Linked DNA regions of Pelodiscus sinensis. The protein of the gene in region 3 purifies or fractionates together with the protein of the main gene of each other region. This does not show direct contact. Links are inferred from orthologs where the notes say so. Each region holds a gene or a part of one and is shown on either strand. Other genes may lie near its edges.

Region 1 (7,245 bases), about 19 Mb from region 3:
AGGACAACAAGGAGCACCTACTCCTGACTTAAAGAGGCAGGTCTGACCATAAAACCCTCCAAGTGTAAGATAGGGGCAGCCAAGGTCCCTTATCTAGGACATTGGGGGGGGGGCGAAGAAATGTCACCTGACCCAATTAAGGTGGAAGCCATCGTTAACTGGCTAGTACCTCAGAGTAAGAAACGGATCCAATTCTTCATAGGCATGGTGAATTATTACAGGCAGTTTGTGGGCGGGTTCAGCGACATCATAGCCCCCATCACGGACCTGTGCAAGAAGCATCAACCTACTAAGGTGGTTTGGTCAGAGGCCTGCCAGAAGGGCTTTGATGAGGTGAAAGTGCTCCTGTCAGCAAAGCCTGTACTAGCCAGCCCTGATTTTGATAAGACATTTGAATTGTGCACTGATGCATCTGACAGTGGCTTGGGGGCAGTGCTTATGCAGACAGGGAAGGATAACAAGAAGCACCCTGTTGCCTTTCTAAGTAAAAGCTGTCCCCTACTGAACAAAACTACTCCGTCATAGAAGAAGAGTGTCACGCCATAGTGTGGGCGGTCAAACAGTTGAGACCCTACCTCTTCAACAGGAGATTTAGAATTTTTACAGACCATTCACCACTGATATGGCTGAACAGAACCAGGAGCACAACCTCGAAACTGCTGCGTTGGAGTCTGATTCTACAGGAGTTTGACATGGAGATCGTGCACATAAAAGGCAAGGAAAACACGGTGGCAGACGCCCTGTCCAGGAAAGGGGATGTAGGAGACACTACCTCTGCACTGAACACTGTCCAACCCTCCAGCAGTAGTTTCATGGGAAGGTGTGACGGATTCCCCCATGCTTTATGAAATGGACTCATGGACACGAATATATATAACTCAAAAGTGGTGTGAGCAAATTATTTCATGCAACCCATCGATCTTCATGTCAAGATCTGCTGGTTCTGTTTATCTTACTCTGTTGTATGTATCATTTGTGTGTGTAAAATTAGACACAGGGAGTGAGGAATAATTTGTGAATTTCCAATGTGTGAATGGGAGACATGGAGGGTGTTACCTGCAACTTCTAGATGAGCCACTGTTAAACACTCTTTTGTCCTTAAGTCTGAGCAGTGGTTGGTAGGGAGTGGCATCAATTCCTTAACAAAAGGGACAGGAAAGTAGAGGACTGGGTCTTTTGGCTGGGCTGTACCTGGAGGAAGGATCCTGAGACCCCAGGGTGGGGAAGACAGCCCTGGTTTAGAGTGGCAGGTGGAAAAGTTTGCACTGAGGTTTCAGTGGAGAATTAGCCAAGCTGTTTTGTTTCTTTTGATTTGTAACCTACTTTGCTCTGCCTCCTCTCTCTTATTACTACTTAAATCCTACTGCTTCAACTTAATAAAACCATTTTTATTTTCTATCAAACCGAGTGTAAGCGACTGTTACCTGGGGGGGGCAACCAGTGTGCACATCCCCCCTTTCATTGCTAAAGGGGGCTTACCTAATTCTTTGGGGTTTGATCCCATCTGGGGAGTGCTCTCTGAGGAGGCTGGGCCCTAAACTGCACTCTCCTTGGATCTGAAGTGGTTCAGTGTCTGTACTGCTTTTCCATAGGGGCAGGGAGCTCAGCTCAGGGCCTTGGCTAGGGGAGACCAGAGGAACTGGCCCAGCAGGACTGGGCAGTGAGGAGCCCCAGAGAGCAGGAAGGCGAGTGGCAGTGGCCGTGTCAGCACCCCGGGAGGCACCCCCGAGGGGTCGTCTGTGACGGCACCCCGTCACAAGGTTACTTTCTGTAGTTTCTTCATGATGTGTGGCCCCTAACTGGATTCTAAATATGAGTGTGCATGGCACCAGGTGCCAGAACTGTTCATAGGAGAGACCGTTGGCCCGCACATGCATTGTGCACCAGCTGTATGGTGCATGTGAAGCTTTAGGAGGCAACATAGGTTGATGCTGCGCCAGTTCCCCTCTTATGAGTTAGTAGAGGAGTTGGTGGCTAAGGGGAAGGAGGTCAGGATTAGAATTCAGAGAAGGATCACATATCTCAATCTCCAGTTACAGCATGCAGCCTCCTCTTCAGAGGTACCAGTTAGATAGTGTGGAGGGGCTCTAACCCTCCCCTCCTCCCAAGTATGAACCCCTGAATTTCAAACTTGACGTCTGCTTAAAGTGCATGCCCTGACCCCCGACAAAGCTCTTAACTGAAGCAGAGCTTGTGCTGCTCCCAGTTTTGCCTTGAGGGGTAGGGAGTTTATTTATAAATAGAGGGAGTCAGAGTAATTAAGATAACAAAAGGCTTGTCATTACATTAATTGAAGGATCACTAGATGATCATGAAAACATTTTCAGGCACTCCACTTAAAAGATAGGAAACAAAGGGTAGGAATAAATCGTGAGGATGGAGGGAATTAACTAGGTAACCCGTTCCAGTGCTTCTTCACCCTCTAGGGAAACTTTTTCCTAATATCCAACCTAGACCTCCCCCACTGTAACTTGAGACCACACTGCTCCTCGTTCTGCTATCCACCACCACTGAGAACAGCCTCTCTCTATCCTCTTTGGAACCCCCCTTTAGGAAGTTGAAGGCTGCTGTCAAATCCCCCCTCACTCTTCTCTTCTGCAGACTAAACAAACCTAAATCCCTCCACCTCTCCTCCTAGGCCTCCTAATCGTTTTGGTCACCCTCTGCTGGATTCTCCAATGCATCCACATCCTTTCTATAGTGTGGGCCCAGAACTGGACACAATACTCCAGATGCGGCCTCACCAGAGCCAAATAAAGGGGAATAATGACATCTCTGGATCTGCTGGCAATGCTCCTCTTAATGCAACCTAATATGCCATTAGCCTTCTTGGCTACAAGGGTGCCCTGTTGACTCATATCCAGCTCCTCATCCACTGTAACCCCCAGGTCCTTTTCTGCTGAACTATTACTTAGCCATTCAGTCCCCAGCCTGTAACAATGTTTGAGATTCTTCCTCCATCCCAACTGCAGGACTCTGCACTTGTCCTTGTTCAACCTCATGAGATTTCTTTTGGCCCAATCCTCTAACCTGTTCAGGTCACTCTGTACCCTATCCCTGCCCTCCAACATATCTACCTCTCCCCCCAGCTCAGTGTCATCTGCGAACTTGCTGAGGGTGCAATCCATCCCCTCAGCCAGGTCATTCATAAAGATGTTGAACAAAACCGGTCCTAGAACAGATCCTCAGGGCACCCGGCTAGTGTTAACTGGTTAAACTGGGGGCTGCTCCTGCCCGCACTGGTTAACGCTTTGCATCCCTGCCAGCACAGCTGTGACCTGCTTGGTGCAGGAGCGTAGGGTCATGCGGGGCATGGGTGGAGGGTTGAGACTCCTAGCCTGAAAGACTGACAGGGAATGCGGGAGTCCCGGCCCACAGGGGTCTGGAGACGCGGGGGGGGGGGGGGGAGGAAGGGGCGGGAGACCCCGGGAGTGGGGGAGGCGCGGGAGACCCCGGCGGGCTGAGGCGGGAGGCCCCGGGAGGGGGAGGGGCGGGAGGCCCCGGCGGGCTGAGGCGGGAGGCTCCGGGGGGGGAGGGGCGGGAGACCCCGGGAGTGGGGGAAGGGCGGGAGACCCCGGCGGGCTGAGGCGGGAGGCCCCGGGGGGGAGGGGCGGGAGACCCCGGCGGGCTGAGGCGGGAGGCCCCGGGGGGGAGGGGCGGGAGGCCCCGGCGGGCTGAGGCGGGAGGCCCCGGGGGGGGAGGGGCGCGGGAGACCCCGGGAGTGGGGGAAGGGCGGGAGACCCCGGCGGGCTGAGGCGGGAGGCCCCGGGAGGGGGAGGGGCGGGAGACCCCGGCGGGCTGAGGCGGGAGGCCCCGGGAGTGGGGGAGGGGCGGGAGACTCCGGCGGGCTGAGGCGGGAGGCCCCGGGAGGGGGAGGGGCGGGAGACCCCGGCGGGCTGAGGGGGGAGGGGCGGGAGACTCCCTGCCTGGCACTAGGCGCCGCCTCCCCACGCCGGCCGGCGAGGTAGAAGTTCCGGTGTCCCTGAGCACGTGCCCACTCCCAGCGAGCCCTTCGCGCCAACTGCCCCAATTCGAATCCGCATCCTGAGCGCCCAATGACGGGGCGGGGAGCGGGCGCGAGGTCCCGCCCTGTCCGCAGGCCGGCCAATGACAGCGCCAATTGAGTTTGAAAAAAAGTGCGCGCGGCTGGTGGGCGGAGCCTCCCGTGGAGTCCGGAGTCCGACGCGCTCGGGGCGTGGCGCAGCCTGAGGGGGTGGATCCTCGCGCTCTCCGCGACGCGCGCTGGGCTGGGGGCGTGGCCGTGGAGCTGGGGCCCGCCCCTCGTGCCCGGCGCCGGGCTCATTCCGAGCGGGCTGGCGGCGGGCGCGGCTCGGCTCCCTGGGGACGCGCAGCGCGAGCCCGGCGGCAGCATGAAAGCGGGCGGTGAGCGTCCCCGCGCCCGGCGGGCTGGGCTCTCTGGGGGCCACCCTGCGGGGGGGTCCTGCAGGGATGGGGGGGGCCACTGCGCGGGGGGGGTCCTGCAGGGATGGGGGGGGGCCACTGCGCGGGGGGGGGTCCTGCAGGGATTGGGGGGGCCACCGTGCGGGGGGGTCCTGCAGGGATTGGGGGGCCACCGTGCGGGGGGGGTCCTGCAGGGATTGGGGGGCCACCGTGCGGGGGGGGGTCCTGCAGGGATTGGGGGGCCACCGTGCAGGGGGGGGGTCCTGCAGGGATTGGGGGGCCACCGTGCGGGGGGGGTCCTGCAGGGATTGGGGGGCCACCGTGCGGGGGGGGGTCCTGCAGGGATGGGGGGCCACCGTGCGGGGGGGGTCCTGCAGGGATGGGGGGGCCACCGTGCGGGGGGGTCCTGCAGGGATCGGGGGGGCCACCGTGCGGGGGGGTCCTGCAGGGATCGGGGGGGCCACCGTGCGGGGGGGGGGTCCTGCAGGGATTGGGGGGGGCCACCGTGCGGGGGGGGTCCTGCAGGGATTGGGGGGGCCACCGTGCGGGGGGGGGCCAGCAGGGATTGGGGGGGTCACCGTGCGGGGGGGGTCCTGCAGGGATTGGGGGGGGTCACCGTGCGGGGGGCTCCAGCAGGGAGTGGGTTGCCAGCCCGTGGTTAGGGGGCTCTTGCCCTGGCAAACTCCAGATGCCTCATGTGGGGCTGGGGGGGGGGGGGGGGTTAAGCCCAGCAGGGTGGATGCTCTGCTGTCTGTTTTCTGGGGTGTCCTTGGGATGGGTGCTGCATGTTTCTCTGAGCCTCGGACCCTGCATTCTCAGATTTGAGACATGAGGGCTAAGTAGTGTCTGAAATACCCTTCCCAGCATCTGATGGGCTAATCCCCTCACCTCCATGTCCCCAGATGGTCTCTGGCACCTCCTTATTGTCCTTTTTACTTCTCCCCTGTGCTCATAAAAGAGTGTGTTTTAGATTTTATTTTTAAATTCCAAAGAGAGGGAGCCCCACTGGTTTAGGCGGGTGGATTTAAAAATCAACCGAGCCTATAGTGGGACAGGACGCTGCCTGCAGGGGGAGGGGACTCACTCATGGTTCCTGCATGGGCACCCAGGACTTGAGAAAAGAGCTGCTAGTCTTATCTTGGTCACTTTGGGTTTCTCATCAACCCAGAGAGTTTCACAAGATAACCTTACTTTATAATTTATGAAATGAAGGTGTGGCTGCAAGATTTGCAGGGAACAGATGAGATTTTGCTTCAAAAGACAGGGTGTTTGAATGAAATGTAAATTACTGAAATATACACATTGCAAAATTCCCCATCAACAGCAGAGACTTGAATAAAAATACTTTAAAAGTTTAATTCAGAATTAGAGGGATTTTTGACATTTCAGGCTGGTCACAAGATTGAAAGTCAGACTCAAGTATTGCAGTTCCCTGTTTTTTTCAATATAAGTCTCATTTTATCTTTGCCATGATAACATCTACAATTGAAATATGACCTCTAAGCAACCCTCCATTCTCTCATGTCCAAAGATAATTCAAATTTAATATAATAATATACAAACTGCAATATTAATTCCTAATTTAATATGGCTGCCTCTGGCTGAGGGAAGCAGCTAATTGGCACACTTATGGAGGGAAAAAGGAGAATGTATGACCAAAAGCCTAGGAGCAAGCTCCCCTAATTTTACACAAGTGCTAAGGATTCCTATGTCCAGAGCAGACAAAACTTGCTTTTTTATCATCTGAGCATAGTGAACTGCTTGCAGATCATCTAATGAATTACTTTTTTGCCAAAAACTATAAATGGGTTTACCAAGTAGATTTTGTTGCAGGCAGATTTATTTTAAGAGGAAAGGGTTTTTTATTACACTTTCTGCATTAATTGGACAGAAATATTAGAATACTTCACCCAAGTTGAATGTTTTCTGATTCTTGCTATGGGGTACATAACACTAGAAGATCTGCTTCTTAAATACACTATCTTTGCTTGCTAAATGTATTTTGGAATGCTTTTGTTGTTTAGTCAGTACCTGAATTTAAAATATTAGAAATGCAGCTTGTATACACAATGTAGATATGTTAATAGTGTATGAGGCCATTTTAAAGTTAACTCACTGTAATATAACTTCTGGGCTACTAGAGCTATATTGTCCACCATCTAGTCTTGCTTGATTCAATTTCCTGGACTGTGGGTCAGTTTCAGTTCTGAATACAGGCTTAATTGGCATGCCAGTCTAGAGATGAATTCCTTCTTACATTGCAGTAGTTCTCTTGCTGAAATTGGGGGGAGGGGGGGAGATACCTATGAGAATAATTTAGTGATTTGTGCATATCAGAATTGCCCTTTAAATTACATTAATATAGCCTTTTATTACCAGGAGGAGAATGGATGTTTAGTTAGAATAGTTATCCTGGAAACTCCAAAGTATTAATAGGATACATACTCAGTTTGTTAGTCTGGGGTAGCTGAAGCAAAATGCAGGACAATGTAGCACTTTAAAGACTAACAAAGACGGTTTATTAGATGATGAGCTTTCGTGGGCCAGACCCATTTCCTCAGATCAAAAATCTGATCTGAGGAAGTGGGTCTGGCCCACGAAAGCTCATCATCTAATAAACCATCTTGTTAGTCTTTAAAGTGCTACATTGTCCTGCATTTTACTCAGTTTGGATATTTTAGGTGGCCCGTTGCTTTTTCCCCCCCTAGGCAGATACCTATTCATTTGCATTAGGAAATACCCAGGTCTAGGGACTGTATTACTCAGTCTTACGGAGTGTCTCTCTACCTGGAGAAATGTTGCTAGCCCTTGCTAGATAGAGGGGTACTTCTGGTGACCATTCCT
Region 2 (7,655 bases), on a different chromosome or scaffold from region 3:
CCCACCAGCCCTGCCTGCTGCCCTATGTGCCCTCCACACATTAATTCCCTGTCCTTGCCTGTCATACTGGGCAATGGAACGCCCCACACCATGGGTCTATGAAATCAGCACTGGTAGTGCAGCAGGACAAGAGCAGCTTCCAGCTACTAGCTCTATGCCACTGCCAGCACATCCCTGCGGCCCACGGGAGTTGTGTGCAGAGCCATCCCACTCATAAAACAGTTCAGCACAGCCACAAAGGGCTCCATACTTTGGAAGCCCTGTGGTGGCTACCCCAACCGTCCTATGGATGGAATGGTCTCCCGCCATACTCAGGTTAGCTCGCAGAGCCTCAGTCAGGCTGGGACACGTAACAGGGGTCAGCAGAGCAACCACGAAGGCCTGGAAGATGGCGATGAAGTGAAACACAGTCTGCTGTGTCATTCCACTTCCACACAACTCCTGCTGCTGGGGTGGGGGTGCCCAGCCCCTGATGCCACCCTGCATCAAGCCCTATGGTAATTCACAAGGCCCCTGAGGGAGAAGGGGAGCAGAAGGGGGTAGCTGTCCCAAGGTTCCATGATTTAAAGGGGCCCAGGGCTCCCAGCTGCTGCAGCAGTGGCCAGAAGCCCCAGCCCTTTAAATCACTGCCTGAGAACTACGCTGCATGCAACATGGAGGGCTGCCTGCTCCTGGCCCTGCCCCTTTTAGCTGAGACCCCACACCTTGCTGTGCACATGGAGCTGACCTCCCTCCGCCTCCATAGCAGACCACAACACAGTTTGTTCATGGTGAACATCTGCAGGCACAGCCCCCTGCAGCTGCCATTGACCAGGAACAGTGAACCATGTCCATTGGGAGCTGGGCGGGGATGGGGGAAGAAGAGAAGTGCCTGAGACTGCTTAACAAACAAACCAAACTATCTCAAGGCCCGCCATCAGAGAACTCTGTTGGGCCACAATTGCCAACCACTGAGTTAAGCTGACAGGGGATTCTGACATCTCTATCATCAGAATGGATTTGCTCTTTTGTGGCTGGGATATCAACTATTCTCAGCCAACACTGCATTGTGAGTTTGACTCATAGATTATCCTTGACATTGGTGAAACAGCCATTGCAGGAGAGCTAGCAAAGAGTCTAAGTATTTGCAATGTGAAAATATTACACCACACTGACATTCTGAACCCCTTGTGACACCCGGTACCACATATACTCCACTTTTACAAGACTAATATATTTCTTATGTATTATTTGAAAATTCATAACCTACTGAAAATCATTATCCTGTTAAATTGTGTATAACATGTGTAAAGCTTTGGGATGTTAAAAAGCAGTTAGTTAGGTTACATGCTGTGGGCTCTTCAGTATAAAGATTATACAGCAGAGCCTGCAGCGCAATTGCTCTGGGTAGAAGTTGTCCCACCCCTCCAGCCAAACCGGGCATGCTCCAAGTGCTGGGGCAGTATAAAAGGGAGATGCTCAGCTGCCTGGGCTGGATGCCAGAGAAGAAGGATCTGCTGCAGGAGTTCCAGAAGTAATCCAGCCAGAGACCTGGACAATGGGAGCTGGACACTGCATTGAGCCTCCAGAGCTGGTGGTGCCTTAGGGAGAGACTGGTGCTGTGAAGCCTAAAACCCACACGGTTCATACCATGCCGGTACAGACGCAGCAGTGCAGTGGAGGAGAGTTTACCAGTGTGGGATAACCATGCACATGTTCACATCCTTAGTATCTACACAGTCACAGTTCCACCAGTTTAATTATGCTTATTAGTTTTAACTTTAGCACTTAATTTTACTATCCCACAATTCCTTGTATTAGGATACATATAGAACAGACCCTCTCATTTTACTTCTCTTTACCATTTATTTTGTATACTTGAATCCTATCTCTTCTTGTTCATCTCCTTTCTGAGGAAGTTAATTAGAGCCTTCCCAATCTCTCATGAGTTTTTCCATCCTTCTGCCAGTTTCTTTGCCTGTCTCAAAATCCTCCCTAAATCTATAATATTAATTTTAAAACAGGCCGACTGGTTCTGGTACTGCACATAGTTTACTAAATGATACCACATGTATATTTTTATAATCGGATATTTGCTGTAGGATTCTCCATTCTGTTCTTTATACATCATCTTTGCCTTCGACCACAGCTGCACGCTACACCTTCAATAAGTTTTCCATCTCCTAAGTTGATAGTTAACTCAGAATTTTGTATGGTATATGAACAGCTCAATTTTTCTTTCCAACAATACAGTATTTTGCGTTTACGTACATTGTCGTCACAACCAATATAAGTGACTGGGCATTAAATCAGTGTGAAGTTTAGTACAGTCTCCTCTGGTTTTCTATATATTCCCGCCTGCTCCTTGCTGCTGAGTAAGGCTTGGCAGCTAGTCTTTAATAAGACTTAAAAATTAGATCTACTGTACATAGCTTTATCCCCCCAGGTTTATGAAAAATGTCGGACCCTTTGCAATGTAGTTATATTGACTCAAAAAATGTAGACGTCTTAACCAGATGTCCATCCCACCTCCCTGAGAGATAGTTTAACTCCACTGATAGACTGATCTTTCCCTTGATATAAAAAACATCTACTCTGCAGAACTATAATGGCACAGCTGCTCTTAGCACGGACATGGCCTAAGTACGGCTTTTATTTAACTTTGGATTGGTTACTGCAGCGCCATGCCCAGAAAAGAGAGCAAAAGCGAGCTCTGAAGAAGCTATATTAAGCCAGGTATACGCTATACCTGGGAGCTCAGCTTAGGGTACAGCAACTTAAGTCAAGTTTGGCAGTATCCCCATGGCTTCCCTTACTCCTCACAAGAGGAGTACCAGATGCCACCGGGGGCATCCTCTGAGTTGGATTTAGCAAGTCTAGTTCAGGAAAGCCTATGGGAATCTAGTTTTAACTAGACTTTCTAAATTGAAGTCCAGATGATCAATTGCAGCAGTGGCAATCTTCCATGGGGTGAAGACAAGCCATTAGAATGTGAGCACCTCTTGGAGGAGAGCAGTTAGAATTAGAGACAGATATGCACATTAGGAAAGACTACAGGCAGCCCCCGACTTGTGACACGATCGGTTTCTGGGGGAAGCATTGCAAGTCAGGGGCATCATAACTCGAACCCATGTTTACAATAGGCACCATCATAAATGCGGGCCGAGGACATAAGTCGGGGGTTATTAGCCCCTTCCGTATTAAAAAATGGTTGTAAGTGAGGGGGGTTGGAACTTGGGCTGTTGTAAGGCAGGTGTTGCCCATAATTGCCAAAAACACGTATGCAACAACATCTATGTCCAAGAAAGAATACATAGCAGGAATTGTAACGAGAGAAACCCAGCTCAGCTTTGAGCGCTGTGTGCTCCTGGGTTTGTTGCTGAATAGTCCTCATATTTCCCTATAGGCTGTGTTTAGGCTGCAGGCTTCTTTTGGAAGAAGCTTTTCCACAAGAGAGCTTCCAGAAAAACTTCTGCAAGACAGCATCCACACTGCAAAAGCCTATCGAAAAAGCCATGTGCATTATATCTTTCATTTCAGCTGTGATTACTATGGATGGAGTGGCCACCAAGGCTCCTGTGCTTTTTCCTCTTCCTTCTTCCAAAAGAATTCCCTCTTCCCCGTCCACACACACACACGTGTCACTTCCCGAAAGAGCTCTTTAGGAAAAAGTCTTCTTCCTCGTGGAATGACAATTACCAATGTTGGAAAACCCCCGCTGTTCTTTTGATTTTCTTTCACAAGAACGCAATTGCAATGTGGATGTAATTGGAGTTTTTTTCGGAAAAATGGCCATTTTCCCGAAAAACTCTGTAGTGTAGACATCCCCATAGCTTCTTTGTATGGAGAACGGGGAGACCTGCCGGACAAGGCTCTGTACAACACAAGCAGCTGGTCCCTGCCCCAAGAAGCCCCCTGTCGCCACATGCCAGCTAAAAGTGACCAGTAGCACTTCAGTGCTGCCACTCCCGGGGCGCCGAGCTGCGTAGGGGGCCGGAGCCGAGGGCAACCCCCTGCTCTGCAAGTGGGGAACAGCCCCGTCCCCGAAGGCGGCGAGGGGCGAACAGCTGAGGCGGGCCCGGAACGAAGGGCCCGCACCCAAGGGCCTCGCAGCCCAGGCTGAGGCAAGACTCGAGAGCAGGGGCAGCTCTGGAGACGGCAGCCCCGCCCGGCTGCCCATGCCGAGAGACGGGAGGGGCAGCCGCTACCGGGCGGGTGAGCTCCAGCAACACCCCCCTCTCCTCCGGCCGGGCCCCCTCTGCCGCTACCCGCCCTCGCAGCGCTCCCCTACCTGGCGCTGTGCGGGTAACACGCTCTCCCTGCCGCCAATGAACATCACTCGCTCCACAGCCACCGCGCTACACGGAGACTACAAGGGACGCTCCCTTGTGTACTACGCAAGCGCGAAAACCACTACTTTCCCGAAGGCTGCCGGGAGCTGCCCCTCCACACTACAGGTCCCAGCGTGCCGGCTGGTATAAGGTTGCCTAGTGTACTGGGACCTGTAGTTCCCCGCGCGGACGCGCGGCATGCCGGGAAATGTAGTCTTCGCAAGACTTAGGCGTGGCAGATTCCCCCTTCTTCCACCGCGGCCTCTTTTGCGCCATTGAAAAACGTCCTCGCTCTTCGTGGCGCGGTGCGTGCCGGGAGTGGCAGTCTCTGCCGGGTGCGCTGTGCACGCTGGGGCTTGTAGGCCCCCGCCAGTTTTGATTCATCTGCGTGTATCCGGGTCCCCCGCGGCGCCGGCTGAGCGGTGTTTGATGGCGTCGCCTAGCAGCGGCCGTGGCCTCCAGTAGCTTAAACGGAGACGGGTGAGGGCAGGAGGGCGCGGCGCTGGGGGAGGGGGATGAGCTGTAGGGCAGGAACCCCGCTGGGGAGATAGCGGCGCCTCCCGCCCAGGTCCCGTTGTCCGCTGATTCGCCAGGGAGCCGCGCCTCCCCTTGGCGGGCCCTGCGTGGCTGAGGAGCCTGGCTGCGGCCACGCACCGTGGGAGGATCTCGGCCGGCGCGGGGCTTGTGCCACTCCAGGCTGGCGTGTTCCCAGGGCCGGTGTAGGCGCGAGAGGCAAGTGGGGCGCGCGCCAAGCTTTTAAATACGTCCCTGGCCAATAGAAGGGCTGTTGGGAGGGTGGGGGCTCTAGTTGTGATGGGGTCATGCTGCCAGGGTCCTACCATCTGCCCTCAGCCTGAGCAAGCCTGTCCCAGCTCCCTGTATCTCTGGGCAGCAGGTAGCTCAGGGCTACTCGACTTTGGAAGCCCCGAGGGCCACAATGATACTCACAGCACATGCTGAGGGCCGCAACTTAAGTGTGGTTGCATATGCATGCAAATATATGTGCATATAGCTTCTTTCACACTGACGGGTATGAATACAAAGTCTAAGGCAACACCCAGGCCCCATTTAAGTCAGTTCTGCTGATATTAATAAATGCACTAATGTGATACTGGCTCTTTGTAGAAAGCTCACATACCACCTTTTGGTAAAATATTATGCATATCTCTGATCCAGGAGATCAGTGTAAAAGTCTCTGTATCCCGAGTCCTCTATGAGTTGGCACCCGGAGGTTCATAAGTCTCAGATTGAATTCACTTATCCATCCTCTCTTCACATAATGTTTTGCCTATAACATCTTGTATTTAATATCATCCAAGTAATTTTGGATTGAACTACAGCTCAATCATGTTCTGATTTCATACAGATACAAGGTAATGCAGTTTACCACTCTGGCTGGGTGAGATGAAAAGATGTCAGAGTTCCGTATGATCACCACAATGATGGTCTTACAATATTTCCTCACATATCTCACTGATTCTATACATACTTTACAATGAAGAAGAGGGGTAACTAAGTAGAGACCTTCATGATATGACTTTTAGAGACGAGGAGCCATTTGATAACCATCAGCCATCTAAAATCAGCCTCATCTACTATCATGTGGGTCCGCAAACAAATTGGTCAATAACTCCTCATGATCACTAGTATCCAAAGCTGCACGTAGAGCTAATATCAGTATGGACTCCTGAGCTTCATCTTTGGCTATAATGAGATCATTTGCAGTGGCAAGAGAGAAAGTCAAATGGTACTTAAGACCCTTAGGCAGAGCCCCCACCACCAAGTACAAACTCTTGTCCCCACCCCCTCATTTCCACTGGGTTTTGGCATCCCTTCTCTCTGCTTTGTGAATATTGTTCAGTTGAGGATAGAGCCCTCAACTGGGATATGCCAAGCACAGTTCTGCTTCTCCACCCCAACAGTAACAACATTATATTAGCTCTGCATGTCATAAAGTAACTTGCAATCCAACACCTCCTCCAAAAGAGATCATTTAGGCAAAACAGCTCCATCATGTTGGGCATCTGGGCTAAATGAATATGTCTGTGCAAGCAAGGTGCGTTATTATAGTCTTCTTTCCAAACTCATTCAGACCTTGTTTAAACAATCAAAGTTGGTATCCTAAAATATAATAGCCTATAGGTTTGCGTAACTTTCCCAAGTCATTAACTAATTAGAAACCAGGAAGGATACAAAAGGTGTGGAGGAATAGTAAAGGACTGGTTGAATTCTAGAGTGGGACTGTTAACAAATGATTCTCTGTTTACATTCTTGGATGTGCCAGTCCCGTGTAAGGGACGGTAAAGCCCTCAAACATTTGTCTACGGACAAAGATCGGTAGGGACGGTAAAGCCCTCAAACATTTGTCTACGGACAAAGATCAGTAGTTCTATTTCAGAACTAGTTGTTCACATTTCATGGCCTGTGTTTTTATGATGCCAATAGCCTGTCTGCATAATTTGCAGTCTCAGCCTTTTGTTCTTTGTGGTCTGCTACTCTGACACATCATCTTCTGCTTAGAATATTTTTTCTCTTGAGCTCTTTTCTCCTAATGAACTGGACAGAACTAGTATTTGAAAAGATCCTTGAATTTTTTTCTGCATGGCATACTGCAGCTGCCTCCCCCTGTCATTCAGGAAAAGTAAGAGATAAAAAATATATGGATACTGTATGTGTAATGTCATCCTTGGTAAATGATTATATGGAACATAAAAAGGGGCAAAACTGGGCTGAGGTAATTCAGAACAAGTTGTGCCAGTTCCCAGAAATGTGTGAGATTCCCATAGCCTTAGGTATAGGGAGGATGAGGGCTTAGAAGTAGGGATGTAAGAAAGTGGTTGACTAACCAATAAAACCTAGGCTTATCAGTTAGTCACGTTGACTATTCGCATTTCCCCACCCCTCTCGCTGCCTCTGTATCAGAGTATGCAAAATGGGAGGGGAAACAGGAGCCATTGCTGTTGGGAGCTTGCTTAAAAGCTAGTTCCCCCTCAGCATCGTCTCCGCGGTGCCACTTACCTGGGAGGCAGCAGCATGAAGCAAGCGTAGGTCCTGGACTTGGTGCGAGCCGGGACTGAGTGCTTCTTACCTTATTAATTGTGTAGTGATAAAAATCCTATTGACTACACGATGAGTAAATTACCCACTTCTAAGACATTAAAAAAAAAAAAAAAAAAAAAAAGAGGATTTTCAAATAGACTGAGCCCCAGTGAAGATGCTGGATATCTGAAAGAGAGCTTGTCATTTACAAAATATCTGTCCCAATTCCGTATGCCAGCTAGCATCAATGGAGTGAATACACTTTTTTTTAAAATTACTCAACATTGTTGCCATCCATCTATTTAG
Region 3 (6,835 bases):
TAGCAGTGCAATATAAAAAAAAAGACTAGTGCCTAAAATATGTGGGAGGCAGTGCTGTTGTTACTTGGTGAGGGTGAAGGGTCAGAAAAGAGATTCTCTCTCAAGTAATGTGGGAAAACAAATTAACATTGTAAATATGGTTTGGCTCAAACTATCTTTGCTATAAGATGATAGTTTGCATCAACTACCCTGAAGTTTTTAAAAACTAATAATTTAGAAAATTAACAAGATTTATACAAGCAGTCCCCGGGTTACATGGATCCGACTTACATCAGATCCCTACTTACAAACGGGGTGAGACAACCCCGCACTAGCTGCTTCCCCCCAGCAGACCAGGGAGACGCGAAGCTAGCGCCCGCCGCCCCCCTCCCCCCCTCAGCAGACCAGGGAGACGCAGAGTGGCTTTTCTCAGCAGACACCTCAGCTTGAGAATAAAGGACTGAGGGAAGTGAGGTGCGGGAGAATAAAACTGAGCTCTGGAGAAATGTTTGGCTAGAGTTTCCCCTACAATATGTACCAGTTCCGACTTACATACAAATTCAACTTAAGAACAAACCTACAGTCCCTATCTTGTACATAACTTGGGGACTGCCTGTATTGTTTTCACCTTCAATGAGTGCAAGATGAATGCAGTAGTATTGTTTTACAAAAAAAATCACCCTCCATTGAATGCTTTTTCGAGTGAGTAAAGAAACAGGCAGCTCAATATAAATCATAATGATTTCATCACAAGAATATATGGTTCCCTTCAATTATGATGTACCATGATAAAGATTTACAGTACAGAATGCACTGTTATAAATAAGTCACTTAAGTTAACAATAGAAGGCAAAGACATATTTGCAGGTGCTGTAGTTAATCAAACACCTGTAACAATCATTTTCACTACAGGTGACTGAGAAGCACTAGTGAGGACAGAAGGGCACTTAATTACATGCCCTGATATTTACATTTGGAATTGATATAATTATTCCATTGGTGAAACCTGAAGACACCCTAAGCCCATGAAAATTAGTTCCTGAAGAATTTTTAACACCATGGCAGATTTAAAACTTGCAAAAGTCTATATACCTTGTTTAACTGAACACAAGGTTAAACAAATAAAGAATGGGGGCAATACATCTTTGATGATCTTTTTAAAATTACTTTTTATCCCATCTCTCCACTAATACACAAAATCCTCCTTCCAAACCCATGAGTACATTTATTTGACTTGTGTTCTCACAGATATTAAATATGGTTATTAAAAATCCCCACAGATTACTAGAATTCTAAAATGGCATTATAACCAACAGGTGCAATTTACTCCAGCATCCTGATGATAATGTTATCACTGCTGGAATTACAGCTTTACTGGGGGGGAGGAGGAGATACAAATCACAAAGTGTATTCTTAATCTTCTGTACAACAATTTGTGCAATTCTGAGACTGAAGGGAAAAGCCACACCAAAGTTTGGAAGTTGTGGACAGAAATAGTGTTACATTACTGTAAATTACTGATGATGTACCTAAAATTAGCAAACACATTCCTGGGTTGGTAAGTTATTAACCTTGAAGGCAGTGGGGCTCTGCTTAAGACCCCCCAGCTCAACAATTTGAGCTCAGAACAAAAGAAAAGATAAGAAAATTCTGCTACTAATAGCAAAACTGCTTATTCCCCATCTTTACAGAATTGCTTTTTTCCACAGTATAAATTCACTGCCCTTCTGCACTAAGTGATAGGAAGAACTGCTATAAAAATAACCCAATCTGAAGAATGTGGGCTTTTCAGCAAAAGCCCCCAAACCATGTGCAGGAGGAAATTAAGATTTGAGTCACTGAATCTGATTGTTTTTGGAGTCTCCATAACATTCTACTTGTACTAAAAATTACTGAGCCAAGCAAAAAATCTCAGCTGGTGACGGTCTTGTGTGCTGATTTGCTTTCAGGATGGTTAGGGGTCAAGAAGTTATTGGGGGCCAGCTGTCTATCACCTCTCTCTTCTACCAGATCAGCTCTCCTTGCAGAACCCAAATGCCTATGTTCAATTTCAGGCTCTCTTGCAAACTGGATGGAAACTGGAAATTCCCTACAAATGATAAAACTGGTTCAACCACAAACCACCACCACCAATGTTGATATGGCAGCCCCCGTCCAAATTAAAAATTCACAGCCACGCAAGAAACTCACAAGACATGTTAGTCCTCTCTCTCCTTTGGGTTGTCTCGTTCTTGTTACTGCCTTCGTCCAAGAAGCCCCTCCCTGAAGCTTCAGTCTCCTGATTTCTACGCAGCCCCCACCCTCTCTTCATTCAAACCCCTCATTCTGGTTGGTCCACCTGCTCTAACCCCCCGCCCCAGAAAGCAGCTGCCTTCCCCGCCCCCCAAAAGAACAGCACTCAGCTCCTCCCACCCTCAACTCAAACCTTCCCCCGGAGCCTGGGCTCCGCTACAGCCGCCTCTTGGGACTGGGCCCCGTTTTATCCAGCGCCGAACACCTCACAGCTGACACCGAGGGGCAGCGGGCGGGGGGGGGGGGGTTTGGAGGGGGGGATGGGGAGAAAGTCAGACGCCGGCGGCTTCCCCCCCCCCCACACGCCGGTGAGGCAGAGGGAGTTCTGGAGGGTTCCCGCCTACGGAGGTGGCGGCCCCTCAGGTCCAGGCGGGGGGAGGAGACGCGGAATCAGCCGCAGGCCCCGGCGCGCGCGCACACTCCGCTCCGCGGCCGGGGCAGACCCCGGTACCTGCTACGGGCCCCCACGGTGGCGGATCCGTTGCTGGCGGGCCCAGCGCACCCAGGTTCCCTGCACAGAGCGCGCTGCAGCGCTCCCCGCCAGGCAGCAGCGGGCTCCTGGCAACCGCAAATCCCGCCGCACCCCGCCCCTCTCCCCAGCGCCAGCCTTCCCACTACCCCCTCAGAGCTTCCGGCTGCAGGCGACTCACCGAGCCGTTCGGCCCAAGGGCGGGACGGAGATACTACAAATCCCAGCATGCAGTGCTTCTCCGCGACCACTTCCTCTCGCCATTTGAGGGTTGCATGCTGGGAATGGTAGTCCTATTGAGCCCTAAGCAGCTTGCCTCAATAGGGAGCATTGTGCGCAAGGTTCTGTAGTTTGAGCCGGGGTGCACTGTACTGCACTTCTCAATTGAATGTGAAGATGACTTCGATTTTATATCGGGTGTAGGGAGTTTTGCTTCCCATGCTAATATTCCCAGAATCATCCCAATTCATAGGTGCTACCACACGCCTTCACTTGATGTAGTTTTCATCATACATGGGGTTTGCAGTTTGGGTCAGTGATTCTCAGCACTCCGACTGTACACATTGTTCCAGCACCTGTGCTGATTTTCAGTGGAATATATGCACCCGTCCTAATATCATTTCAAGGACCCTGAAATCAGTACCATCTTTACACTGCATCACCATAACCTTCTAGGAGAGGTGTCACCACACCACATTTCAGAGGTGATGATAGTTTGATGGACTGTAATATGTCAATGCAGCCCTAGGACAGAGGCATCACTCACACTCCAGCTTTATTCTTTTACACGAGTCATCAGACTCAAGCTTTCAGACTTTCTCAAGAATTCATCACTCCTGTCTCTTCAGCAGCCTTGGGTACACCAGCTACTAAAGTGTTCATCAAGTAGGCATTGTGGCAGGTTGGAAGAAGACACCGCTACCGCACTAAGCTCAGGCTATGTCATCTTAAAGTTGTAGAAACACTTAGTTTGGGGGGTAGGCATTAAAGTCAGGCTAATAGTTATCATCAGTAGCATGATCTTTACACCAATTATCAATTTAAATCTTATGAGCCTGCCTTTTGTTATCTTAAAATAACACAGAACTTGTCAAAAGATTTTAAAATACTTTTCTGACTCACTTAATCATTATAAATTATTTCAGACCTATATATGTTGGACTGGTTTTCTCAGGATACAGCCAGCCAGACTTATGACCAAAACTACTCTTATTACATTGTGGGTTCAGTGAGGCAGGCATTACTTGAACTAAGCACCTTTCGCACTACTTATTACTTAGAATTCCTGTGATATTACCATTGTCTGTTGATGCAGGAGAAAAAAAGATGAAAATTTAGCACAAAATCAGTTATAATCTGAGAAAAACTGTACCACTATCTGCAACATCATTGCAAAATACCTGCATCATCCAGGCTGCCAAATGCAGAATTATTATAGGCACTGTGACCAAAGTTACAAAGTTCAAATAGTACAAGCCACAATACAATTAGCCTACAATACACTGAATTGGTGGCCAAATTCTAAGAATACCAGACAGACATAATTAAACAGAATTTTATCATAGTTCTCTGGATACTTTATGGCAACAAAGGGAAGATTTTCAAAGGCATAACTAAGCATTGCTACTGCTCAGCCAAATGATTGTACAATAATCTGTTTTCGAGGAAAGCTTGATAACAAGAACAGGGTGGCCCCTTATATGTGTAGGAAACAGAAGACCAAAACAACTCTTAAGTGCGTTTGAAGCTGTGATTTTAACACTAGGACAGTGTTTTCTTTTTGCGTGCTCGATTCATGGTCTATTGAACATCAGGAATTAGCTGCAAGATCCCCAGTTGCCGTTGCACCTTTGAACGTCCCCTTCTAGACACTTCCAGGAGTCAGAGCAGACTCAAAAGACAGGACTATGCATCACTTTAAAGACTAACAAGATGGTTTATTATGTGATGAGCTTTCGTGGGTCAGACCCACGAAATAAACCATCACTTAATAAACCATCTTGTTAGTCTTTAAAGTGCTGCATAGTCCTGTCTTTTGTTTCAGCAAGACCAGACTCACAGGGCTACATCTCTATTACTACTGAACAGACTCAGGCTCTGCCAGTGCTGCTGGAGCGTCGAGACAAGCCACTACACCGAGCCACGTTGCGCCCCAGATCCTGTCAAGCGGTACTTGAGGATTGGCTGACGGATAGAGGTGCGGCGAGCGCTGGATGGTGATTGGCTGGCGATTGCCAGTGATCGATGTTGACTGGCTGGTGGCAGAGATTCGGTGGCGGCTCACTGGTCGTTGGAAATCGATTGCCGGCTTCTGATTGGCCGGTGGGTCTAAGTGAGGATCATTGTGTGATCACGGTGCAAAGGCTCTGGCTCGGCCTAGCAACTAGTGGAGGGGGGGGGGCTCCCCGGCCCTCTCCCCCAGCTGGCTGCCATGTTGGGCACCTTCACGACCCTGCTGGGGGCGCTGCTGGTGCTGAGCCGCAGCCCGGCGCTCTCCTGCCTGCTCACCGCCGGCCTCTACTTGGCGCTGCGGCTCTTCAGCCTGGAGCCCGTCTCCCTGCAGCGAGCCCAGCACATCCTGCAGCCCCGCGGCACCGCCGCCCGCATCGCCCACCGCGGCGGCGGGCACGACGCGCCCGAGAACACACTGGCGGCCATCAGACAGGTCAGCCACCGGGGGACCCCCCCCCACACACACACATTTCCCCCGGGACCCTCTGGGACTCTCCCGCTGCCCTTCCCCCGGGACCCTCTGGGACAGCCCCCCCCCCCCCGAGCCTCTCCCCCCGGACAGTCCCTCCCGAGTCCTCCCTTTCCCGGCTGCCCTTCCCCCGGGACCCTCTGGGACTCTCCCGCTGCCCTTCCCCAGGGACCCTCTGGGACAGCCCCCCCCGAGCCTCTCCCCCCGCACAGTCCCTCCCGAGTCCTCCCTTTCCCGACTGCCCTTCCGCAGGGACCCTCTGGGTCAGCCCCTCCCCCCTCGAACTTCTCCTTTGGGCTGCCCTGCCCTCCGGGACAGTCCCTCTTGAGTCCGCCCTCCAAGCTGCCCTTCCGCAGGGACCCTCTGGGACAGCCCCTCCCCTCCCACGCGTTCTCCTTGCTGAGCCTAGGATTATTTTCTAATTGTACAAAACCAAACCGCTTTGCCACGCCCCTTTCCCTAAGGCCCCTCCCTTGCTCCCCCCTCCCGCGCTGGCTTTCCCTGGGCTGCCGCAGGGGGTTGGGATGTAGGAGGGCTCCAGCTGGCTGGGTGCGCTGCTGGTGCCCACAGGGGCTGCCCCTGCCGCTCCCATTGGCTGTGGTTACAGGTCAGTAGTGGGAGCTGTGCAGGTGGAGCTGGAGGCAGAGGGCATGTAGGAGCCAGAGGGAAATGCTTCCAGGAGCTATGCGGAGTCAGGGCAGGTGCCTTAGCCCTGCTGTGCTACTGACTGGACTTTTAACAGCTGGATCAACAATGCTGACTACAGCCGTGTCAGTCCCCTTCTGACTGGGTGTTCCAGTCGAAAACTGGACACTTGGCAATCCCAACTGAGCCTGATTTACCCCACACTCTGCTTGCTGTTCCCAGGAACCCTCTGGGACAGCCTCCCTTCCTAGCACACTCTCTCCTTACTGAGCCAAGGGTTACTTGCCAATTTTCTAATTGTACAAAACCAAACAACCTTGCCACACCCCCTTCACTGAGACCCCTTCTCTTGCTTTCCCCCACCCTCATTCACTTTCACTGGGCTGGGGTAAGGGGTTTGGATGCCAGGAGGGCCCCAGTTGGAGCTGCGGGCTCTGGGATGGAGCCAGAAACATGGCATGGGTTGAGGTCCAGCCTTTGGGGTGGTGCTGAGGGATTTGGGATGCATGAGGCGGCTCTGCTCTGGGACTGAGGGATGGGGGGTTTTGGTTCAGGAGAGGGTTCAGGGTTTGGGTTGTAGAAGGGAGTTTGGGTGAGGAGGGGGGCTCAGGGCTGGGCAGGGATTGGAATGTGGGGTAGGCTCTGGGAGGGAGTTTGGGTGCTTGAAAAGATTCTGACCTGGGGCAGAGGGTTCATGATGTAGGCTCTGAGTGAGTGGGCCATTCCCAGTTGGCAGCACAATGGGGCTG
Region 4 (6,849 bases), on a different chromosome or scaffold from region 3:
GGGGAAGTGACAGTACTGCTACCCTTACCTGTGGCTGAACTGTGACTGCTGGGATCCAAGATCTGAAGGCAGAGCCACCACCAGCAGCACTGCAGAAGCAGGGATGGCATGGCCACCCATATTTCTGTGCTGTTGCCTAAAAAGTTGAGCCCTCAGTCAGCAGCTACCACACTCTGGCCACCTGCTCTGAAGGCAGCAGCACTGAAGTAAGGGTGGTAAAATATGGTATTGCCACCCTTACTTTTGCACTGCGGCTGGTAGGGTGCTATCTTTAGAGCTGGATGCCTGGCCAACAGCTATTGGTCTCTAGCTGCTGCCCAGCTCTGAAGACAGCACAAAAGTAAGAAATCTATTAGAGTTCTTACTAATCTTAATCTTAACTAAGATTAATTTTACTAATCTATTAGAGTTCTTTGAAGGAGTTAACAAAACATGCGGACAAGGGGGATCCAGTAGATATAGTATACTTGGATTTTCAGAAAGCCTTTGACAAGATCCCTCACCAAAGGCTCTTGGGTAAATTATATGGCCATGGGATAAGAGGGAAGGTCCTTTCTTGGATTGAGAACTGGTTAAAAGACAGGAAACAAAGGGTAGGAATAAATGGTAAATTTTCAGATTGGAGAGGGGTAACTAGTGGTGTACCCCAAGGGTCAGTCCTGGGACCAATCCTTTTCAAATTATTCATAAATGATCTGGAGAAAGGGGTAAGCAGTGAGGTAGTAAAGTTTGCAGATGATACCAAACTGTTTAGGATAGTCAAGACAGAAGCAGACTGTGAGGGACTCCAAGAAGATCTCACCAAACTGAGTGATTGGGTAACAAAATGGCAAATGAAATTTAATGTGGATAAGTGTAAAGTAATGCACATCGGGAAAAATAACCCCAACTGTACGTACAGTATGATGGGGGCTAATTTGGCTACGGCAAATCAGGAAAGAGATCTTAGAGTTATCGTGGACAGTTCCCTGAAAACTTCCACACAGAGTGCAGCGGTGGTCAAAAAGGCAAATAGGATGCTAGGAATTATTAGGAAAGGGATAGAAAATAAGACCCAGAATATCTTACTGCCCCTGTATAAAACTATGGTACGCCCACATCTTGAATACTGTGTACAGATGTGGTCTCCTCACCTCAAAAAAGATATTTTGGCCTTAGAAAGGGTTCAAAAAAGGGCAACTAAAATGATTAGGGGTTTGGAACAGGTCCCATATGAGGAGAGGCTAAAGAGACTGGGACTTTTCAGTTTAGAAAAGAGGAGACTGAGGGGGGATATGATAGAGGTCTATAAAATCATGAGTGGTGTGGAGACGGCTGATAAAGAAAAGTTATTTATTAGTTCCCATAATAGAAGAACTAGAGGACACCAAATGAAATTAAAGGGTAGCAAGTTTAAAACTAATAAAAGAAAGTTCTTCTTCACACAGCGTGTAGTCAACCTGTGGAACTCCTTGCCAGAGGAGGCTGTGAAGGCTAGGACTATAATAGAGTTTAAAGAGAAGCTAGATAATTTCATGGAGGTTAGGTCCATAAAAGGCTATTAGCCAGGGGATAAAATGGTGTCTTTGGCCTCAGTTTGTCAGAGGCTGGAGAGGGATGGCAGGAGACAAATCGCTTGATCATTGTCTTCGGTCCACCCTCTCTGGGGCACCTGGTGCTGGCCACTGTCGGTAGACAGGATACTGGGCTAGATGGACCTTTGGTCTGACCCAGTACGGCCGTTCTTATGTTATGTTAAGAACAGCAAGATTGCTGCATCCTTAAAATGACCTTGTAGCCCTGACAGACGATTCCCTTTTGAGTCAGGGCCCCAACGTGAGATGTGTTCTCCCCTGTGAAATCTATATAATATCGGGGGGGAGGGGGGGGAGCACACACAAAACCAGATTTCACTGTCAATGATGTATTTCATGGCCATTAAATTGGTGGCACCATGCAGATGGGTTTACTTCCACCATCCCCTATAGACTCCATTCTTACTGGGAGGTCTCTGTATAAAGCTCATTGTAGGATTGGGGCACACTTCAATATTTGAGACATAACTTTGGAACACACCTTCAGCATTTATACTCAACTCTGTTGAGTTTACTTCTGTTGTTGCATATGGATTATTCCCAACCATTGGCACCAGGCAATCAGTGTAGAAGTAACCAACTTTAGGCATGTCAAAGGTAGAAATAAGTAGATCTACTGCAAGCTGGCCAACATTCCCAACGGATACAGCTGGCTGGAACAACAGAAGACTTGTGACCATATTGTTATTACAGTTTTTATACATTCAACTGTGATTTGAATAATGAACTATGTATAATATTCAAATTAATAAATGAAAACTCCACAAAATATCTGTAGGTATATGCTCAAATCACAATCCTCTTACCCAATATTTTAAAAGTGGGGTCAGAAAACCTAAAACTTCCCTTTATGGAAGGTACTGGCTTTTTAACAGATTGTTCCTGTACTAACAGACCAGCACTGAATAATAAGATGTGCACTATTGAAAAAAAAAATCAACATACAGCCTCTACTACCCATAAAGATTAGGCTTAAGATAGCAAACTATGAACATTTAGTTGTGTAATGGGAAAACAATAGTTTTTGTTAGATTAGTTGAAAACTTAATCAAGGAGACTGCACCAAACTCAGCTACCACTGTCTTTGACCTGGGTGCGCTCAAGGATGGGCATTTGAACTAGGGATGTCAACTAGCAATTAATTTACTAGTCAAGTAGTCGATGAATTCTCCATTGACTACTCAACTTGGCACTTCAGCATTCCGCCTTTGAAAAAGTTGGACCACCGCATGGAGCCCAGGGCCAGCGGGAAGTTTCACTGACTCTGGGCTCCAAGCAGGCACTTCCCGCTGGGGACTCTTGTACATTTCAAAGTTGGTGGAGCCCAGGGTCAACTTCCCAAGTGATGCTGGGCTCAGTATGGTGCTGCCGCTTTGTGATACCACCACAGCCTTTCAAAGTGACAGTGCCACAGGGTCCATGCGGCTCCACTGCTTCAAACTACCCCTCTCTTCTCCCCCTGTTGTTGCCTCTATCTGATAGAGGTAGCAAGGGGGTGGGGGGAGCAACTAGTTGGATTTGCTTACCGGATAGTCGACTAGTCGTTCACATCCCTAGTTTGAATGTGCTGCCTCTACCACCAGCTTCCCAACATCCACACAGCGCTTGCCGTTACTCGCATCCCCTCTTGCGGGGGCGGGTTAGACAAGCGACCCCCCCCCCCAGGTCCAGGCTACGACAAAGCCCCGGCAAGTAACAGCAGCGGAGACACGTTTCTATTTCCCAGCTCGGGGAGGGGGAGGGGGGGCTGGTTCTCTGCCCCCCGCCGCTCACCCACCCAGCGCTTCCGCAGGGACGCGCATCCCGCCCCGCTGCGCCCTCAGGCCCCGACGGGGGCGACGGTTCCCCCCCCAGGGCCGCGCGCGGCGTTACCAGCAGGAGCGTGAAGCCTTCAAAGCTGGCGGGCGCGGAGCCACCGCAGGGCACAAACATCGCGCCGGGAGCGTTCAGCGCTGGGTGCGCGCGACTCGCCTCCGCCAGGGTCCTTCCGCTCTGCGGCGCATTTGCCTGACGCCTAAGCGGGGGCTGATGTGTGAGGGGGGAGTTAGGCGTCCTCTGTAACCGCCTGTCCCCGTAGGGCTCCTCGGCAGGACGTCCTCTGATGCGTAACTGGAGCCCCTGACAGGGGGGGCGGCCGGCCCGTTTCTCGGCCCCGGGCTGGAGGAGGGTCCGGGCTTCCAATCAGGCGTCTGAGCAGGGCGCCCTCGCGCTCTGGCGGGACGCTTGTTCGAAAAGCGGTTGGGGCGGAGCGCGCGGTTGCGGAGCGCAGTGGGCGGGGCTGGGGGGAGGGGGCACCGGCTCTGGGTGTTGGGGGTTCGCCATGGCGCTGCCTCCGGAGAAAGCTTCGGAGCTGAAGCAGATCATCCGCCAGCAGCTGGCCAGGGTGAGGGGCAGGAAGTGCGCGCGCCGGCTCGGCCGGGGCTTTACCCTGCGCGCGGAGGGCTCGTGCCGGCTTCACTGTGGGGGGCGGGCTGGTGTCTGCTCGCGCCGCTCGTGTGAGAAGCAGCGGGGCTGAGGCGCTCGGACCGACGTTATAGTGCCCCCCCCCTCCCCCCCCCCAGCCTGCAGGCACAATGGGGGCAGCTGCGTCCCGGGGCTCGTATCCCCGCAGCTCGGGCGTTCTCTGCCTTTTCCCTGTCGGCGCGAGTTACCCGCCAAGGGTCCCGCCACTTCTCCCACCCGCCCCATCAGTTGTATGTGCCCCGAGGCAAGTGCGGCTGCGCACCACCGCTCGCCACACATCCCGCTGGCTGAGGGGGGCTCTGCTAACCAGCTGGCCGGCCTTTGAATCTTTACAGCGCACACACTTGTCCAGGCAGTGCTGGCTGCTGCCTGTGGGGAAGACAGAGGGTTGGATTTTTCATTATCTCTACCTTTGAGTCTTTGATTGGGACATCGCAAGCCATCCATGACTTGTGCCAATGAGTGCTGGCAGCTTTTCCATTGGCCTGTGTGATAGTCCTGTGGAAACCTTGGCTCTCAGTGCGGAGAGAGGGAGTGAACTGAGGTGGTGTAACCCTTCTGTAGGTAGCACTTGGCAGTCAGAAGGGCCAGTTCAGTATCTAGGGAGTTCTTTCAACAATGTACCCACACTGGCTCAAGCCAGTAAACCTACCCACTGGGTGCCTTTAAAGGTAATTCTTCTCTCTCAAGCACTGGGTCGGAGACAGAAACAGTCTATTTAATGACAGCAATGTAACATTAATCCACAGAAACACACACAAACAAAACCCAGAAGCAAGATACGGTCCCGAGATCTTTAATCTACCCTCCAACTCATATAGTGTGCTTTCCCCCCACTTCAAACACCCTGCTCATGGCTCTGTCCAGTCAATGCAGACCCAGAGCTTATAGGTACATCATCATGTTGTCTCCCCTCCTTGAGGATGTGGCAATGCCGCTCACTTCCTGCTCCTGCCAGCCGCTCCACCAGTTACCTGCTGGCCGCTCCCTCCAACAGCCTTGTGGTAGATTTGGCTTTGGGCCAAACCTTTGTGATTTCAGCTGCTCAGTGATTTTAACGCTTGGCCAAAAGCACAGTCTAGCCAAAAAATTCCAGCATCCGCTGGAATACATTTTAAAATCAAAAAGAGACTCTTTATGGACTCTGCAAAAGCGACGAGGAGTCCTGTGGCACCTTATAGACTAACTGAAGTGTAGGAGCATAAGCTTTCGTGGGCAAAGACCCACTTCGTCAGATGCATGCATCTGACGAAGTGGGTCTTTGCCCACGAAAGCTTATGCTCCTACACTTCAGTTAGTCTATAAGGTGCCACAGGACTCCTCGTCGCTTTTGCAGATTCAGACTAACACGGCTACCCCTCTGATACTTGACTTTATGGACTCTGTTCTACTTCTTACATTAGACCGGATTTGGGGAGGAGGGGGACAAAACAGGTTGAACCAGTCTTACAGCTCACGCCTGGAGTGCATGCAGCCTGCTGATTCAGAGTTCTGCCCTCCTCCCAGTTGACTTTCCAGAGTTTTGGCAGAGAAAGCCTTATTCTTTACACTGATAGTCTCTCTCCTTTAAACTGAGTGAAACACAGTATGACTTTTCTGCATTCCCCCAATAACTGCAAGCATTGGTGGTCATATCTTACAATTCCTGCATTTAGGGTCAACAGAGTTTGTGGCTCCACAACAATGGGCAAAACACCATTCTAACTGTTGAATATCTAGTAGGTCTAAGCAAACTGAGCGAACTATTTTTACCTAACCACACCCAGGATTTCTTTCCCATTCCAGCTGGCTGTAATGGAAGCATTGATTCAAACCCTGCCTACAGGGGATTAGTCCAGAGTGGCCAAGAAATTGTACTCCTGGCCACAAGCAGTATCTAGCATAACCTGACCGTGGCTGGAACTATGCCTACCAAAATTGAGAGACCCACATATTGGTTGGGGTTGATTTCAGAGAATCACCAACAAGGCTGAGCATGATGTTGAGTTCAGTGCCTACCCACTGAAGCTTTGCACCAGACTGGCACATTTTTGCTGATGCCAAGACAAGAGCATATAGTGATGTTCGAAGCATGCATTCATCACATCTCCACAATGTGCTAATGAGCTTCTGGATGATGTTAACCTTCTTCTTTATCTTCTTTGTGATATTATCAAGATGTTGGCAATAGTTCAGCATCCAGTTGAGTTTAATGCCATGGGTTGTAGTCATGTAGTATAGGCAGATCTCAAAAGTCCACTTTCAGTGGCATTTGGTTTCTTGTGTGTTCATGTGGAAGGCAGAGACAAGTGTTGTCAAAGCGTTCGGTTTCAGTCACCAAGTTTTGACATGTCTCGCATATTTGGAGGTGATTGTTCAATATTGTTTGCAAGGATGAATTTATGGGATGATGTGACCAGATTCTCACTAGGGATGTTAAATATCAGTCAATAAGGGGGTCGGAGCGATCCTGCAGTGGGGTTGGCTCCCGGGGGCAGTGCTAGCCGGGACTGAACAGTCCCATCTCATGGTGCCACCGGGACCACTACAGCTCAGCCTTCCCTGCTTCCACCCCCGCACTGTGTAGATGGTGCTGAGGGGAACTGGCTTTTAAGCCGACTCCCCCCAGCACTGGCTCCTGCTTCCCCCCCTTGCTGCCTCTGATACAGAGACAGCAGAGGGAGACTAGTTAAGTAGTCACTCAACTACCTGATAAGCCTGTGCTTATCAGGTAGTCAGCTACGCAACTAGAAGCTTTCATCTCTAATTATCACTGGTATACAATAGGAATGTAAAATCCCATTTAATTAGTTAACAGGTTAAAAATGTTTAA

What was found.
Region 1: the proteins of CCP110 (region 3) and CCNF purify together in Homo sapiens (affinity purification with western blotting; 7 studies listed by BioGRID and IntAct, with this or other methods). This does not show direct contact. The link is inferred for Pelodiscus sinensis from reciprocal best matches to the Homo sapiens genes CCP110 and CCNF.
Region 2: the proteins of CCP110 (region 3) and CEP290 purify together in Homo sapiens (co-immunoprecipitation; 6 studies listed by BioGRID and IntAct, with this or other methods). This does not show direct contact. The link is inferred for Pelodiscus sinensis from reciprocal best matches to the Homo sapiens genes CCP110 and CEP290.
Region 4: the proteins of CCP110 (region 3) and CEP76 purify together in Homo sapiens (co-immunoprecipitation; 4 studies listed by BioGRID and IntAct, with this or other methods). This does not show direct contact. The link is inferred for Pelodiscus sinensis from reciprocal best matches to the Homo sapiens genes CCP110 and CEP76.

What each region holds. Positions count from the first base shown.
Region 1 is NC_134726.1:1,950,701-1,957,945, forward strand, and holds the start of CCNF (cyclin-F), read left to right. Parts: upstream 1-4,228; 5' UTR 4,229-4,370; coding exon 4,371-4,383; intron 4,384-7,063; exon of another isoform or gene 7,064-7,245. UniProt on the Homo sapiens protein: Substrate recognition component of a SCF (SKP1-CUL1-F-box protein) E3 ubiquitin-protein ligase complex which mediates the ubiquitination and subsequent proteasomal degradation of target proteins.
Region 2 is NC_134711.1:76,742,979-76,750,633, reverse strand, and holds the start of CEP290 (centrosomal protein of 290 kDa), read left to right. Parts: upstream 1-4,636; 5' UTR 4,637-4,790; intron 4,791-4,812; exon of another isoform or gene 4,813-5,042; intron 5,043-7,655. UniProt on the Homo sapiens protein: Involved in early and late steps in cilia formation. Its association with CCP110 is required for inhibition of primary cilia formation by CCP110.
Region 3 is NC_134726.1:21,043,765-21,050,599, reverse strand, and holds the start of CCP110 (centriolar coiled-coil protein of 110 kDa), read right to left. Parts: upstream 3,023-6,835; 5' UTR 2,922-3,022; intron 2,895-2,921; exon of another isoform or gene 2,170-2,894; intron 1-2,169. Other genes in the region: GDE1 (glycerophosphodiester phosphodiesterase 1), read left to right, coding at 5,172-5,405.
Region 4 is NC_134712.1:87,531,169-87,538,017, reverse strand, and holds the start of CEP76 (centrosomal protein of 76 kDa), read left to right. Parts: upstream 1-3,828; 5' UTR 3,829-3,894; coding exon 3,895-3,957; intron 3,958-6,849. Other genes in the region: PSMG2 (proteasome assembly chaperone 2), read right to left, coding at 2,056-2,227, 3,447-3,506. UniProt on the Homo sapiens protein: Centrosomal protein involved in regulation of centriole duplication. Required to limit centriole duplication to once per cell cycle by preventing centriole reduplication.